Macaca fascicularis: one gene and its partner. Each later gene encodes a partner of the first gene's protein in a complex. Links are inferred from orthologs where the notes say so. Each region holds a gene or a part of one and is shown on either strand. Other genes may lie near its edges.

Evidence for each region.
Region 2: the proteins of HCN2 (region 1) and PEX5L are in contact, whole or in part, in a crystal structure (PDB 4EQF), measured with the Mus musculus proteins. The link is inferred for Macaca fascicularis from reciprocal best matches to the Homo sapiens genes HCN2 and PEX5L. Residues at the interface, in NP_032252.1 of Mus musculus: Leu859, Ser860, Ser861, Asn862, Leu863; in NP_001156988.1 of Mus musculus: Glu315, Glu317, Val343, Asn347, His426, Asn453, Arg454, Ala457, Thr458, Ala460, Asn461, Tyr472, Arg484, Tyr487, Asn488, Ile491, Ile494, Ile537.

Annotation. Positions count from the first base shown.
Region 1 is NC_088393.1:1,143,716-1,148,018, forward strand, and holds the start of HCN2 (potassium/sodium hyperpolarization-activated cyclic nucleotide-gated channel 2), read left to right. Parts: upstream 1-1,218; 5' UTR 1,219-1,278; coding exon 1,279-1,910; intron 1,911-4,303. UniProt on the Homo sapiens protein: Hyperpolarization-activated ion channel that is permeable to sodium and potassium ions. Displays lower selectivity for K(+) over Na(+) ions. Contributes to the native pacemaker currents in heart (If) and in neurons (Ih).
Region 2 is NC_088376.1:91,655,569-91,659,373, forward strand, and holds part of PEX5L (PEX5-related protein), read right to left. Parts: intron 554-3,805; coding exon 430-553; intron 1-429. UniProt on the Homo sapiens protein: Accessory subunit of hyperpolarization-activated cyclic nucleotide-gated (HCN) channels, regulating their cell-surface expression and cyclic nucleotide dependence.

The DNA of each region.
Region 1 (4,303 bases):
CGGTGGCCCCGAGGTGCAGGTGGGCAGGCGGCACCCGACACACAGGGCATCATGGCTGAGAGGACGTCAGGCCAGGTGCCAGAAGGGTCCCAGGAGGGCAGGAGGGTCCCAGGAGGATCTCAGGAGGGTCCCAGGAGGATCTCAGGAGGGTGCCAGGAGGGTCCCAGGAGAGTGCCATGAGGGTGGGGATGTTCAGCCTCCACTTCTTCGTGTGTGACTGTCTCTCTCCTCTCTCTCACTTGCCAACTCTCTCACCCACCCCATCCCGGCTGTCTGGTGGGCTGGGTGGGCTGGGTGGCTAGGGACACAGGCCTCATGTCACCTGGCACCAAGCAGCCCCCACACTCGGCCTGGCTGTGGCCCAGAAGCAGAGCCTTGGGAAGCACCTGTCTCAGAGCCGGAGACTGGGGGCACTGGGGGCACAGCCGCACCCGAAGCTTGAGGGGTCGGGGAAGGAGGCAGCCCCGGGGCAGAGGGCTCTGGTGCCTGTGCGAAGGCACTAGTGGGCTCTGGGTCTCCCTGTGACCCCAATCTAAAGCCCACCAGACCTAGAGGAGACCCCCCCACCCCACACTGCTCCCCAGGGCACGGTTTGAGGGTGGGTGGGAGCCCCACACCTTCGGGTGCCTCTTCTAGTTTTCCCTGTCAGTTTCCTCAAATGCAGACCAGGGAGAGGAGTGCCCGAGTCTCCCAGAACGGCCCCCAAGCCGGCCGGCCCCTCCCCACGCACTCAGGGGTCCCTGTCCAGGGCCCACGGGCGACCCAGCAAGGGCTCCTGTGACCTTTAGAAACACGCTTTCATTGTGGGAGTCTTCAAACCTACGGAAAGCAAGGAGGCGCTGGCCGTGGCGGCCTCCCGTCTCCCAGGCCCGCGTGCACCCTCCCCGCGCCGGTGCCCTCCGGGCAGAGGTGGAAGCCGCGGCGCGGGAGAGGCGGCCTCGGCCGGGCAGCGGGGCTCCGTGACCTTGGGCGCGTCCTTACACGTCGCGGGCCTCAGTTTCCCCTCCTGGGGAGAGGCCCGCGCGGGGCTCCGAGGCCTCGGGCCGCGTGACCTTGGGGCGCCCCGGACCCCGCGGCCCGAGTTTCCCGGCGCCGGGCGGAGGCGGCGCGCGGGGAGGGGGCGCAGCCGGGCGGGACTCCCGCCCCCGCCCCTCCCCCGCCGCGAGGCTCCGCCCCCCGCGGCTCCGCCCCACCCCGCCCCCGCCTCCCCCCTCCCTCGGGCTCCGGCCGGCGGCGGCGGCGGCGGCTCCGCTCCGCACTGCCCGGCGCCGCCTCGCCATGGACGCGCGCGGGGGCGGCGGGCGGCCCGGGGAGAGCCCGGGCGCGACCCCCGCGCCGGGGCCGCCGCCGCCGCCGCCGCCCGCGCCCCCCCAACAGCAGCCGCCGCCGCCGCCGCCGCCCGCGCCCCCCCCGGGCCCCGGGCCCGCGCCCCCCCAGCAGCCGCCCCGGGCCGAGGCGTTGCCCCTGGAGGCGGCGGACGAGGGCGGCCCGCGGGGCCGGCTCCGCAGCCGCGACAGCTCGTGCGGCCGCCCCGGCACCCCGGGCGCGGCGAGCACGGCCAAGGGCAGCCCGAACGGCGAGTGCGGGCGCGGCGAGCCGCAGTGCAGCCCCGCGGGGCCCGAGGGCCCGGCGCGGGGGCCCAAGGTGTCGTTCTCGTGCCGCGGGGCGGCCTCGGGGCCCGCGCCGGGGCCGGGGCCGGCGGAGGAGGCGGGCAGCGAGGAGGCGGGCCCGGCGGGGGAGCCGCGCGGCAGCCAGGCCAGCTTCATGCAGCGCCAGTTCGGCGCGCTCCTGCAGCCGGGCGTCAACAAGTTCTCGCTGCGGATGTTCGGCAGCCAGAAGGCCGTGGAACGCGAGCAGGAGCGCGTCAAGTCGGCGGGGGCCTGGATCATCCACCCGTACAGCGACTTCAGGTACCGCCTCCGGGAGGGCCGGTCGGCGCGAGGGGGCCCGGGGAGCCGGCGCGCGGGGGCCGTCCTTGGAGCGCCTGGGGAGGGCGGGGCGGCGCGCCCGGCCGGTGACCTCGGGGCTCCTCGGTGACCTCGGGCGTGTCCAGGACCCGCCCCGGAGTGACCCCGGCGCGCGAGGCTCCGCCTCTGGGGGGCTCCCGGGGTGACCCCGGAGCGCCCCCCTCCCACGCACCCCGACATACTCCGCCCTGCGGCGCGGCGGGTGGGGTGGGCCGCAGGGCCAGGGTCTGAGCGCCGAGGGGCGCAGAGGACGAATAGAGGGGAACGTGGGCCCCAGAGAGGCGGCGGAGCGGAAGGGAGGAGGAACGAAGGGCGCCCGGGAAGGACGCGCCTGAGGGAGGCCGGGGGAGAGGGGGTTAAGCGGCTCCCACGGCGTCCACCCGCGCCCCGCCTGCGAGGAGGCGCGCCCGGAGCCGCGGGCCTGGAAAGCGTGCGGGTCCCCAAGCTGTGTCTCCAGGAGCCGCTCCACCCGAGCCGCGGGCGGTGCGCGCATGTGGCGGTGGGTGTGTAGATACCGCTGTGGATCAGCCGGCTAATGCGTGGAGGGCTCGGAGCAGGGCCGGCGCGAGACCACCGCCGCCGATGTTTGCGTTCCTGGTTCCCGGGCTGTGCGTGCTGTGGCCGGAGAGTGAGACCGGCGCGTGTCCCCGTGGGCTGTGTGTGAACAGGGGCGCGTGACGGCGGCGGGGTTCCCGGGGCGCAAGCCTGTGGCCCGGGAGGTGTGTCTCCAGGGGTGTGTCTGCGTGGTGGTCGCGAGCGTGTGTCTGCGTGGTGGTCTCGGGCGTGTGTGCCCCGGGTGGTTTTATCGTGGTGGGACGTGTGGTTCGTATGTGTTGGGACCAGGTGGCGGGCGTGCGTTGTGCGCCCGGGGCCGGTGTGCACCGGTGGGCAGTAGTGTGAGCCGTAGGCAGGTCTCACACGCGCGACCGTGGACGGCTGCGTGTGTGTTTGTCCACGAGTGGGGTGTGAGGTGGGTTGTGGAGGGTGTAGATGGGGCCCGCCGGGCGGGCGCGGTTTCAGCACCACGGACAGCGCGCCGGGCCTGGGAAGGCTGCGATTTTCCCGCCTGTCTCTCCTCCTCCAGGCCTGGGCACCCCTGAACGGCCCCCATGGACCCTGGACCCCCAGAACTGGGCAGGGAGGCTGTGGGAATCTCTCTTCCCTTGACTTCTCTGCACCCCTAGTGATTGGCTGGAGAAACTGAGGCCTGGGGCACACACGTCCTGGACAGCCTGGAGGAAGGCCCTGGAATCCTCCTCCCACCCCAGGTCTTCCTGAGAGAACACAGCTTTGACCAGAAGCCTGGATTTCGAGACCGGCCAGGGGTGGAGGAGCCCCAAAACCCCCAGAAGGGCTGTGTCCGGCCCCTCCCACCCCGCCTCCGTGCCCCACTGGGAGAGCTTGGTCAGCGTCTGGGCTCTGGCCTGTGAAATGCGGACAGTGAGCAGGAAGGACTGGACTTCCAGGGCTGCTGGTCGGCCTGGCCCCACTTCCAGTCGGGCAGTGGCACCGCCTGGCCGGAGAGGGACGTGGTGGGGAGGGAGCTGCAGAGAGCGCCCACTCCCCTTCTTCGTCCCCTCCAGCATGACCGCCGACAACGATGGGTGCACCACAGTGCAAGGGCTGGCAGGTGGAGGCCCACGTTAACCACTCCCTCCCCTGGGCAGTTCCAGTGACCCCCTGGCTGCAGAGGGGCAGTCGGTGTCCTGGGGGGCAGGTGGGCTGATGGCTGATCCTGGCGCTTGGGGGGAAGGCCGGTAGGAGGAGTGAAGCCCCTCATCCTTCCACCCACCTTGCACGCAGTCACCTGGAGGCCCGGGCAGGCCGGGGCCCCGCTCTGTGCTGTGAGGTGTTGAGGGCTCAGAGGCCCCCTGTGTGGGCCAAGTGCGGCGTCACCCAGGCAGACGAGTGTTGAAGTGGAACTGAGCAGGCAGGGAATGGGGTTAGCGGGGCCTGTCTTCAGGACTAGGGGAGTTACAGCAGTCAGATTTTAAAAAAGGATTTCGATGTTGCCAAGCTGGGTGCACGCGGCCCCTATGACCCTCCCCAGGCTTGGGACCTGTGCCCCTTTTCGACTGTCCTGAATCAGTGTGGAAAAAGACCCCCAGAAATATCTCAAAAGCTCCCTAAGCCCCCGCTGGGCCGGGGGCTGTTGGAAGCACCTCTGAGGATTAATTTAATAATATTAATTATTGTAAGGGCGAGGAGGGTGCTGTTGCTAACCTGTTTTACCCAGGAGGAAAGAGAGGCCCACATAAGTCATTTGGTCAGAGACACACAGCTCCTGAGGGCCGGATCTGTCTGCACAGCACAGCCCAGGTGTCCACACTCCTGAC
Region 2 (3,805 bases), on another chromosome or scaffold:
GTGGCCAGATTTTCTCGTAAGCTTCCATGCACTGTTCTGAATTATTTGATTATCTGATAGTAGATGATTGAGCAAACCAAAAAAGCTACCTTATAACTGCAAAAATTTAACTATTATTTAATATATTGAATATTCTCATGTATATACACATATACACCTAGTTTTACTAATCAGCACAGTTACACATTCAGAACGTTATTACCAATGTTGAATTACAAATCTCTCAAAACACTTATTGACTGAGTTGAATTAATTTTTGACAGTTGAGATGAAATAATTCGAATTGGTAGAAGCCACAGTAATTGGTATTGTTACATAGGGGTTACATGTGATGCCAAGTATTTGGATTGACTTAACTCACTGGCTATTTCAGTGCCACTCATAAAGTTGATAAATAAATGGCCATTTTCTGGTATCAAAATACCTTACCATAAGAGCTCTTTTGATCCAGTTCTAGATGAGCATGATTTTCTCTCTGCCATTGGATGTCCCTTGGAATTTCGATCGCCATGAAACTTAACATCGTCCCATTTTTCCAGTTGTGTTTGAATGTCTAGTAAGTACAGAGGAAGCGGGTGAGGCAGGTTGGGGGAGCATGTGGTGCAGAGAGAAAAAGAGAGCTTAATTAAGATTGAAAAATCTTATCAAAGTGAGCTTCATTCAACCAATGTCCCAAGCCCCAAGATCAACCTTTATCTTTTCAATGTTGCATAAAAATTAAAACTTGTACAGCTAAATAGAAATCTCCTATTAAGATAAATTGCATTGCTTTTACAGTTAATGCAATCAAGTTGTTTGACCTGAATTTATTTCTGAAGCTGTGTACATTCTGAATCTTGTACATGAGCCTGTGCAATCCAGTGTAGAATGTACATCTGGAGCACTACCCTGTCAGTCTCTGGCTAAAGCAGGGGTTTGGGGGCATTGCTGGCATGATTCCAGAAAGAAATTCTGTTTAAAGAGATGAGCTTCATTGTTAAAAGGAGGTGGGGATAAATCAGAACACTTTCACAGCTTTTGAATAAAGCATGTAATTTTTCACCAAAGGAGGGAATTTATAATGGGGAGAGAGAGAAAGGAGGCAATGAGGACAGCCAAGGGAATCCTGGAACCATTTTATCCCTGTGGCTTAGTTCTTATAGATAAAAAAAATCTGGCTAGATTCTCTCTCATTACAGGTGTGTGGCTGTGAATAAACCACTGAAACAATCTCGGGGTTCAGTTTTTTAGCGTATAAAAAGATTGGGCCAGGTGGCAAGGGCTCACGCCTGTAATCCCAGCACATTGGGAGGCAGAGGCAGGTGGATCACCTGAGGTCAGGAGTTCGAGACCAGCCTGACCAACATGGTGAAACCCTTTTTCTACTAAATACAAAAAAAAAAAAAATGAACGGGGTGTGGTGGTGCATGCCTGTAATCCCAGCTACTTGGGAGGTTGAAGCAGGGGAATTCCTTGATCCTGGGAGGCAGAGGTTGCAGTGGGCCCAGATTGCGCCACTGCACTCCAGCCTGGGCAACAAAGCAAAACTCTGTCTGAAAAAAGAGATCAGTTTGCAGATGATGTTCTCTAAGGTCTTTTTTCCCCTTCTTTTTAAAAACTCTGGTAAAAAATGCATAACAAATTGACCATTTAAACCATATGTTAGTGTACAATTCAGTAGCATTAGTACATTCACACTGTTGTGTAACCATCACCACTATTCATCTCCAGAATTTCTCATCATTTCAAACTGAAACTCTACTCATTAAACACAAACTTTTCATTCCCCCAGCAAAAACCTGGTAACTTTTATTCTACTTTCTGTCTGTATGAATTTGACTGTTGTGGGTACCTCGTACAAGTGGAATCCTCCAATCCAGGTTGATTATTCCTTATGCAAAATGCTTGGGACCAGGAGTGTTTCAAATTTGGGATTTTTTTTCTTGGTTTTTGGAATATTTGCATATGTCATAATGAGATATCTTGGGGCTGGGACTCACATTTAAACATGAAATTCAATTATGTTTCATACACACCTTACACACATAGCTTGAAGGTAATTTTATAAAGTATTTTAAATAATCTTATCCATAAAACAAAGTTCTGACTGTGACTTATCACATGAAGTCAGGTGTGGAGTTTTCCACTTACAGATTTTGGAGGATTTCAGATTTTCGAATTAGGGATGCTCAACCTGTATTTGTCCTTTTGTGCCTGGTTTACTTCACCTAGCACAATATCTTCAAGGTTCATCCATGTTGTAGCATGTAAGTTATTCCTTTCCAAGGCGGAATAAGTTCATTGTCTGTATATATTACATTTTGTTTATCCATTCATCTCATGATACGTTTCAGTTGTTTTCACCTTTTTACTATTGTGAATAACACTGCTATTCTTTTTTTTTTTTTTTTTTTTTTTTTGAGATGGAGTTTTGCTCTTGTTGCCCAGGCTGGAGTGCAGTGGCGCGATCTCGACTCACTGCAACCTCCGCCTCGCGGGTTCAAGCAATTCTCCTGCCTCAGCCTCCCTAGTAGCTGGGATTACAGGAATGTGCCAACATGCCTAGCTAATTTTTCTTTGTCTTTTTAGTAGACACAGGGTTTCTCCATGTTGGTCAGGCTGGTCTCACGCTCCTGACCTCAGGTGATCCACCCGCCTCAGCCTCCCAAAGTGCTGGGATTACAGGCATGAGCCGCTGCGCCTGGCCAACACTGCTATTCTTAAAGGTGCTTTTAAACTAAATACTTTTACAACTTCTTCATAGGACATTTTCTCAGAAGCAGAGAAATAAGTGTTCATCATCTGCATGCTTATTGTGTTATATCGTAATATATTAATATATTCTATTTTTTAAGGCAAGGTCTCACTCTGCTGCCCAGGCTGAAGTGCTGTGGTGCAGTCACAGCTCACTGTAGCCTCAATCTCTTGGGCTTAAGCAATCCTCCTGCCTCAGCCTCCCAGGTAGCTGGAACTACAGGCTTATGCCACTATGCCAGGCTAACTTTTAAAATTTTGTAGAGATGGGATCTCACTGTGTTGTCCAAGTTGGTCTCAAACTCCTGGCCTCAAGCAGTCCTCCTGCCTTGGCCTCCCAAAGTGCTGGAATTACAGATATGAGCCACTGCACCCAATCAATATATTAATATATTTTTATCTAAATCTATACATGTTATTAACTTATTTGTAAAACTGAATAAACCTAGATGGTGAGGAAATAGTAGAGATAGTTATAAAATTTCCCTCCAAAGACAGACCTCAAAGAGGGATGGCAGGGGAAAGGAGTTCCTGTGTATGCCACTAATTTGAGCAATGGCGTGGTTCTCTTTCCTTTCTTTACAGTCTATCCCTGGAAGAGCTCATCTACACCCATGGTTCCAATATCCATTCATACACAAGCTTCTGACTTACAAATCTCCATTTCCTACTCAGCTCTTTTTCTCCAGTTCTAGACCTATATACTTAACAGCCTAATGGAGGTATCCACAGAGAAGTCCCAAGTTTCCACAAATATAGCAGGTTCAAAGCTGAACTCAATAGTTCACTCCTGCTCCTCTTCCATCTTCTGTCATGGAGCTTGGCACATTCTACATGTCCCCATTGCTCACATATACATATTATCTGTTTCTAAGTCTTGTTTTCATAGTTTTTGGAACCTGTCTCTCTCTTTCTCATTATCCCCCTTGTCACTGTTGGATCTCTGTACTGGTCTCATTGCCTCTATTCCTTTCTCCGTAAATCCACCAGAGAAGGATTTTTCTAAAATAGAAACCATTGCTGTCATTCCTCTTAGTAGAACTCTTCAAACATCATCCCTCCTTCCCCAATC